2 linked regions of the Bombyx mori genome follow. The protein of the gene in region 2 purifies or fractionates together with the protein of the main gene of each other region. This does not show direct contact. Links are inferred from orthologs where the notes say so. Each region holds a gene or a part of one and is shown on either strand. Other genes may lie near its edges.

Region 1 (4,283 bases), on a different chromosome or scaffold from region 2:
CAAATTATAATTTTGCGGGTTAGATTTTTATTACACGATGTTATTCCTTCACCATGGAAGTCAATCGTGAACATTTGTTAAGTACGTATTGAAAAATTGGTACCCGCCTGCAGGATTCGAACACTGATGTATCGCGAGATACGAATGCACCGAACGTCTTATCCTTTAGGCCACGACTTCATGTCTTCTTCGGTCAACCACTTCCCCTTTTGCCTTGCACTACCATTTTCATACATCTCAAAGTCACATGCATCTCCTCTCTATGCATCACATGTCCATACCACCCTAACTGTCCGCTCTTTAATTTATCAATCACTGGGGCTACATTCACACATGTCTTCATTTAGATATCTACCGCATGCACTCCTCTTTCATGTTTTATTATGGATAATGACAGACAATGACAATTACAGAAAATGAAGAGATAAACTGAATTAGAAAATCAAGGTGAAGAAGGTGAAATAAGAACACTATAGAAAAATACCCCAATATATGCAGATAGATATATTCGGCATTAACAAAAGGAAATATATATCGACGCTTGAAAGGCAAAAGTGACTAAGCGACAATAACTGCTTTGTACATAAATGAAAGGCAATAACCATTTTCGATGTGCAAAAAATATATATTTCTAGGTCTATTAAAATCATTTCAATCCTACTGCTACTAGCTAGATTCTACTACAGCTGGTTTCGTTAAAATAAATTTTGTTTTCAGGTATTTTAACTTTAAATTAGTCTACTGTAAAGTTCACGCATTGTCGCTTAGTCACGTTTGCCTTTCAAGCGTCGATATGCATATAAGCTCTTAACCGAATGTTGGTAATGTGTCTGGTGTGAATTAAAAAAAAAAAAAAGCAGTCCTATTTCTTAAATACATTTACTAACAACACACATACATGTGATTATGTAATAGAGAACTGTACAATTAATTGCTTACAAAGAACCAGGAAGGAGAATGTTGAATGATTTATTTCAATTAAAACAGTTCAAAGTATGAAGGTCACTTTTATGCATCCAAAGACATGTGAAAACAAAGGTATTGTTTCATTTATTTTATTTTCTGTATAGTTCAACCAAATCATAAACTATGACATTAGCAACACAATTAAAACGAAGAAACTGGCTGGTCACAATAAATCCAGCAAGCTTGTCTACATGACTTAAGACTATACAAAACTTTCAAACTAAAATATACTTATCAATTAAAATTTCAAACTCTTATGACAAAGTGACCACCTTCATTCAAATTAAAATGTCTATAGGTCCCGGTAACCACTTAACACCGGATGGGCCATGAGTTACTCATTCATTATCATAAGAGGGTCTAACTTTTTGAAACAGGAAGCCTGTAGACAATAATATATTCCCCTTATTTCTTCACTCAGTGAGATATAGAATAGTAACTGACCATATCGATGCAAGAAAGCAGAATTGTCGTAACTTGAAAAACCCGACCTTATACCGGAGCCATAAAACTATTTCAAAAATTCATAACTCATTTTATATATTTATAGAGATATAATGTTCAAAATTGGTATGAAATTGGATGAAATAAAGGTGAATGAAAAATTTTATTATAGGAAAACGAAACTACAGAAGCAGTATTTTTTTTATACAAGAAAATCCAGAATGCAAAAGCAAGTTACGACATTTCCACTTTCTACCGTCAATATCATTACTAGTTACCTGGAAAAGGCAATTTTTATTGATAATACTGCTAACCTTACGTTTTTTATTACAAGCTGAATATGTTGCAATGGTAGATATAGGTAAAGCTGTAGTAGTCCTGTGTGGGCTAACAATACACCAGTGAAATTTACACAGGGCACAGGAGAAGGATTGATTTATAAAGGTAAAATATCAAAATATATATTACAAATAAGTTATGGGAAGAACCGATTAGCAGAAAAAAGAACTTGGGCAGTCTACTGATATCTTGTAGTAATCACGTTGTAGGATCTGACTCTTCACCCAACACAACATAAACTAAATATTGCTGCTGCTAGTAACAATGATAATATATTACAAATATAAAAGTGAAATACTCTGATTAAGAAATTAATGAGACAAAAATGAGAACTTTAAAACCTCACACTTTTTGGTATTATAACATTCATTTATACTATTTTTATTTTCTAGCGTTTCGTATGAAAATAAATATATCGGAGATGTTGAAATCAATAATGTAACATACCTCATTAATGACTACAATTAATCATAACTTCTTTGTAGTTGTCACGAATGCGTACGTCGTCACGTAATTCCAATTAGATTACTATAATTATAAGCACGAAGCTCCAATCACCTTATACGGCTAACAATATGACTAACAAAATAGTAATCTTGGTAAAATAATAATTTATTATAGTTTCAACAAGGCTTGTGGCGTGGGCGACCGCAAAAGTTTCGGCCGATACCATTTTTGGCTTTCGAAAAGTTTGAGTACCTACAAGCACCTTTTATGAACGATTTTATTCGGTCGAAAAACCATACCTGTCTTTCGGCGCCTGCGTTCCTAGAACCGAGGATTCGTCGATGAGGGGTAGTCGTGAACCCTCTGGATACGCAATCTCTAATGCAAATTGATCCACCTCCATAGTTTGAGATGCACTTTCACTAAACCGTCAGTTTTTCTTTGAAAGGTATAAGCTAATCGATCAGCGCTGTTAACAAGCTCAAAACAAAGTCTTTACAATTTTCTTTGACGTCAATATTCAACTACCGCACTGCAAACTTCCAAAACAAAATCGAACTCGACTGACGTTTCTTGATTCTTGACGAATGTTTAACTAAGACTGGCAAACGGAACAAAGCCATACAACCTACGTGTTGAGGATTAAGGCAAAGCTGTCTGGGCAAAAAAATTATTCAATATTCCTGTCAAAAATGTGGAACCAATTCTATAAATAAATAAATACCCGACTGCACGCGACTCTGATAAAGCTGCTTTTAATTGAAGGATAATGGTAATTAAGCCTGGAAACTGCGTAAGGATATGATGTGAATGTGAATTTGATGGGAATGTGAGGCGAAAAGAAGTGTGATTTTTTTCTTTGTTAATTTAGTTTTTCGTCAGGTTTAAACGTGTAGTGATCATATATAATCTACTTAATATTTAAGAGCAGTTATGGTGGCATATTAGCCGTTTACTATCTGTGAAAATGTGGAAAAAATGGGATAAAAAATTCTGAAAATGGCTTCTTTAGTTCTTCCCAGAAATTTGAGATTAGCGCTCAGTAAATTTCTACCGTGTTGCTGGGAAACCATGAGTAATTGAGGAATAAATATATACGACAATGGCAACGTGATGCAAGAAGCCGATTGTCATGCTAAAACAACTAAGAGGATTCCAATCTACCTTACCTTATCTAGAATATGTGGTGTCTAAAAAGGCCACTACCACATCTCGGTAGAAAGACTTCAATCTATTTGGAGGAATTCGAAAAAGAAAATAAATAATGCCAGATCACATTGCCAAATGGAAGGATGAAGACAACGTAGGTACATCTTAAAGGCTTATAAAAAAACTGATTGAGACAAAATAAAATACACATTGTAGTTAAGCATGTTTCATTAAAAATACCCTATATGAAACGTCTTTAAGTATATAAAACATTACATTAGCTACACTATGCACTGTATTAGCTATGAACCTAGTGTTAAATGCTATTAGATTACTTTGTCCGAATAAAGAAAACGAGATAATTTAGGACAATTAAAAGAAATAGATTATGTGATAGTATTACAGAAACGAAGACATAGATAAATTAAATAATAACATTATTAAACATATTACGTTAGTTAGTAGTAAGTTAGAAGTCGTCGTGGCCTAAAGGATAAGACGTCTGGTGCATTCGTATCCGGTGCACCGGTGTTCGAATCCCGCACCACTACCAATTTTTTTAATGTACTTAACAAATGTTCACGATTGACTTCCACGGTGAAGGAATAACATCGTGTAATAAAAATCAAAAACGCAAAATTATAATTTGCGTAATTACTGGTGGTGGGACCTCTTGTCAGTCCGCGCGTGTATGTACCACCACCCTGTCTATTTCTGCCGTGAAGCAATAATGCGTTTCGGTTTGAAGGGTGGGACAGCCATTGTAACTATACTGAGACCTTAGAATTTATATGTCAATGTGGGTGGCGCATTTTACATTGTAGATGTCTATGGGCTCCAGTAACCACTTAGTACCAGATGGACTGTGAGCTCGTCCACCCATCTAAGCATTAAAAAAAAAAGTACCATTAGTACATTCGGTCCAGAGGTCTTTATTA
Region 2 (4,311 bases):
GGCAGAAATAAGGCCGTGTAATCGTATTATCAGTTAACATAAACTTTAGTAAATTTCCACATTTTATTGAGAGGCTATTTCAGATCATCTTATTCAACGCCTACCAAATTATTATATTTTACCTCATTTAATTAAATACCTAATCAATTTGAATACATTCCATAATGTTCCGTTCTACCATATATATATAAGAAACTTGGCTTCGACTTTGTCACAAAAGCTTTGCTTTTATGGAATAGATTCCAATTTGTCAGCCCAATGTACCATAAGCACAAGGCTCCACCCGTGCGATATTTGTATAAAGCACACAAAGTTGTGGGTGAAAGCGTAGTTAAGTGATAAAATAAAAACATCACGATCGGTAACGAAAACATTAAGCGATTACTTTAAGTGTTTTATTTTGATATGAACACATGAGCTCTTGACCTTCCTGAGCTCATCCCGAAGGCGATGATCAGCATAACGTGAATGCCACTATTCACAGCACGTCACTTCGAATGCTTCCGATCCACTAACGGTGCTTTTAGGTAGGTACCTAAAGCACCGGTAATCGTTCTCGTCGAATTCGCTCGTGACGAAAGGCTCGGCGAGTAAATTAACCAAACAGACACAGCCCACTGAGTTTCTCGCCGGCTCACCTACTTGTTAGGTTACGCTGACATAGCCTATCAGAGCTGTGAGCTTAGGGCTAAAAATTTTTTATTCACATTGCGGTTAAGATTGAAATTGTCTCAATTGTCTGCATTGGTACAATTTATAACTGTATCTACAAGTATGTATGTACTTATCCAATATTATCTGCATAGATTATATTTAAATGTATTTAAGTATATACGTCTAGCCTAAAGTAAAATCTTTTTTTTTTTTCAGTTACCAAATGTTTTACTACTAGGTAATAATTTTTATATCGTCTCGTCTATTTTAAATTATATTGCCATTTCTTACAAATAATTTATAAATAAATAAATAAATAGGAGATCTAGTAAATATTTTTTCTATTATTATAGTTTATCTATAATTATCGGTATTTTTAAAGAAAACGTAAGAATAGGAAACTGGGTGCTTGTCGAAGCGACAGTCCTGCTGTCGGGAGCAACGCGCCCTATTACATTCAAAGCTAAAATTATTACCCATATTTTAAGTGCGAAGTTGAGTTTGTTAGTGTCCTCCTTTGAAGCATATGTTTGGGACCTATCAACATTTTGCAAAAAGATAGTTTACAGGCCGAAAACAAGAAACGAATGATGTACTTATAAATAACAAATGAAACTTAAAAATTATAAAATTACAAATTTATGATAACCAGCATCAGTACGGTATAAAAATTTCTTTTAAAAAATATCCGCGTCGTGGCATGCCCGGATCCTGTGGAACTGCCGAAGCGACCCACTAAATGTCTATTCTGCACTTTTCGCCCAAATGATCAAATTACGCTCGAAATGCTGGGGGGCGACTGCGGTCTGCACTGCGATCAGTCACGTGGCCACCAAGAGGATGTTCGGCCGACGAAAAACATCGACGAAAACGATTTCGTCGGCCAACTCGGATGACAGCTTATCAAGAAGGCCAGGCCTTGCCACTGTGGTTCCGGAATACCTCCCAGAACCAGAACCAGTCTGCTAGGTGCTCGCGATGTACCGCCAACCGATCACTCTTTAGCATCAACTCTGCAACGCCCTAGAGGGCGTTAGCTCATCTCTTAGGCTCCAACGCCTACTTCTGTGAGAGGTAAACTCGCAGAAGTGGCGATTTCCAGGATTATTCGCTGCCATGTGCCGTATCTAAGAATTTGGACAGCGACGAGTCCGGTCCTATTTGAGCAACGAGAATACTATGTCGCTTCTTCCGAGCGATGTAAGCTGCGAACTTGTGCTCCGCCGTGTTCACATTGGTGTACAGCAATACACCTAGATTGTGAGAAGGTAAGCCTTTTAGTATTGTAATTGTTTGAGAGTGAGGTGAGTCAATTAATTAGTTTCTCCACTCGTCAAACCACATTTCAAATTGGATGTACTTAGACAGATATCGGAACTATTGACGGAAACATTGTTCTGTGACTTATTTAAATAAAATTTTTTTATTATTAAAAAGTTCAAAATAATCGAATGATCTTCGAAACAAGCATAGAAGAAATGTTCTCAATACTTAATTTAAATATAATGTTCATAAAATTAAAACCTGTTTCTACTTTGAATACTTCCATTTTTGGAGACTGTGACTAACTTTTCCCACACAGTCTTATTTATGGTCCATTCGTAACGATCTACCTAAAGTCGATCCCACACAAAACTGAAATTGCACTCTGAAGAATATAACAGATTTATATAGTATGTACACGGTACACATTTACAGGCATTATGATTGTACGATAAATCCGAAATAACATAGAATAGGTATGTAGGAGTGATATACAAACCTTAAAATAACATCGGGCTTTTCCGGTAAAATACAACTGGTGTCAACCTTGAAACCACAATGGAAAATACGATTTTCGGATTTGTGAACACCGTTTGGTTGGTAGCATGAGATCACACAATGACACAGAGCTCGTACAGTAAGTAGTAGCACTTGCACTTTTAATGGTTGACTGATCGAATCAATGACACCTTTTCTCAATTATAAATTCAATTTTTTTTTAAATCACTTTTTCAATTAGTAGCATAAAAATAATTTTAAATACTGCACTGCTATAAATTTGTTCACAAAATAACATTAATATCTTTCATTGTTTAAGTTTATATCTTTAATTTAATTGTAGACAAAGCGTGGGAAGCAGCAAGTGGTAACATAACCACATACTAACAACTCGGACGCCTGTTATGCATCGACTGACATTCAGAGACACGAACATTTACGAATAGAATACGAGCACTCTAAACTATGAGCTAATGATATCGCGATCACAGCATCGCAAGCATACAATTTTTGAAATTCAGCAAAACTTGCTTTAGTTTTCTTTTATCAAATACATTATATACAAGAGCTTGTGTTATCAAAAATACATAATCATTTCTAAACGAATCTCTGTATCCAACAATAATTTATGCATCTCGTAAGAAACACAAGTTACTTAACGTTGAAAAATAAAACCATGTCATAATTTTATGAATGGGCCTAAATTATAGGTTTTGCAATTTTCACGTTCAATAGCCTTACAACATACTGAATCGTTGTTTTTAACGACATTGAATCGACTTTTCTAATTTATCTTATCTATTTTTGTTTTATTAACGAAAAAAACGTTTAAATAAACTGTATTGAAGAAGCATTTCACTAAGTACGAACCGCTGAGGTAATGCGCTCTCCAAAAATTATTTTTTTATATATAAATATATGTTATACATAAGCTGTTTTTACTATAATTTTTTTATATTTTTATGAAATGATGCCCTGGACCTTTACAAAATTTATGTAGGATACAGTTACAGATACAGACGACATTTCTTTAAGGAAATCCGATCAACAATAAGGAACCATAAAAAATGTATTTTTTGTATATTTCGTTCATAATTTTTGTAAGTTAATTAAAATTTCAGCAAAATATATTTTTTTAATTTGGACCCAAATATTTCATTAGATACTTGGTACAATTATATAAAGACCAACCTTTTTTGTGATTTCCAAAATTTGTCTATAGTTACTAGTAAGTTTTAAATATTTTTTTTGCGTGACGTGATTGAACGAGGTGACGGTCAACCTGGTCTTGACCGGCTAGCGGAGCGCATAGACATGAAATGCTGCCACCCACGTTGAGGTACGAGGTGATAGTCCCAATTCTAAAAGGCCTGGCTTATCCTACAAAGAAACACCGTCATGTTGCGCGGCAGAAATAGCCAGGGCGTTGTTACCTAGCCTTGCGAGTTTACAATACGCCCTACTACCAGAAAATAGAGGATGGCTATGACAGTACGTTAGTATAACTGCTAAAATAACGATACCACCCATTAACTCGTGAATGTCTTAGTTGCTTTTTACGATTCTCACTGGAAGAGATGAGGTGGTGGTATTCGAGGCCAACACAGCCATACACTTTATAAGGCTGTGTTTTGGTAAAGTCAAAGTCAAATTTTTGTGACTTACGGATTTATGACGAAATTATAAGAGTTCCGTTTTCTTGTATTTGACAGCAGAACCCTTATAAAAAAGCTGATTAATCTAAAATACTAAAAATTATTGGAAAGCTCTAATAAGTTACACTATTAGAACGAACATCGCATAAAAATATTTCTACGACGATCTATTTTAAATCGTTGGATACGTAAATAGCTTCGCAGTGGCTGTGGGCGAGACGTGATCATAACGTTTAGAAAT

What was found. The genes of interacting proteins can lie anywhere in the genome.
Region 1: the proteins of DnaJ-4 (region 2) and BAG family molecular chaperone regulator 2 purify together in Homo sapiens (affinity purification with mass spectrometry; 4 studies listed by BioGRID and IntAct, with this or other methods). This does not show direct contact. The link is inferred for Bombyx mori from reciprocal best matches to the Homo sapiens genes DNAJB6 and BAG2.

The regions. Positions count from the first base shown.
Region 1 is NC_085125.1:2,380,738-2,385,020, reverse strand, and holds the start of BAG family molecular chaperone regulator 2, read right to left. Parts: upstream 2,807-4,283; 5' UTR 2,600-2,806; coding exon 2,496-2,599; exon of another isoform or gene 2,202-2,495; coding exon of another isoform or gene 2,197-2,201; intron 1-2,196. UniProt on the Homo sapiens protein: Co-chaperone for HSP70 and HSC70 chaperone proteins. Acts as a nucleotide-exchange factor (NEF) promoting the release of ADP from the HSP70 and HSC70 proteins thereby triggering client/substrate protein release.
Region 2 is NC_085116.1:8,813,184-8,817,494, forward strand, and holds the start of DnaJ-4 (DnaJ (Hsp40) homolog 4), read right to left. Parts: upstream 2,807-4,311; 5' UTR 2,417-2,806; exon of another isoform or gene 2,353-2,416; intron 1,923-2,352; exon of another isoform or gene 906-1,922; intron 1-905. UniProt on the Homo sapiens protein: Has a stimulatory effect on the ATPase activity of HSP70 in a dose-dependent and time-dependent manner and hence acts as a co-chaperone of HSP70. Plays an indispensable role in the organization of KRT8/KRT18 filaments.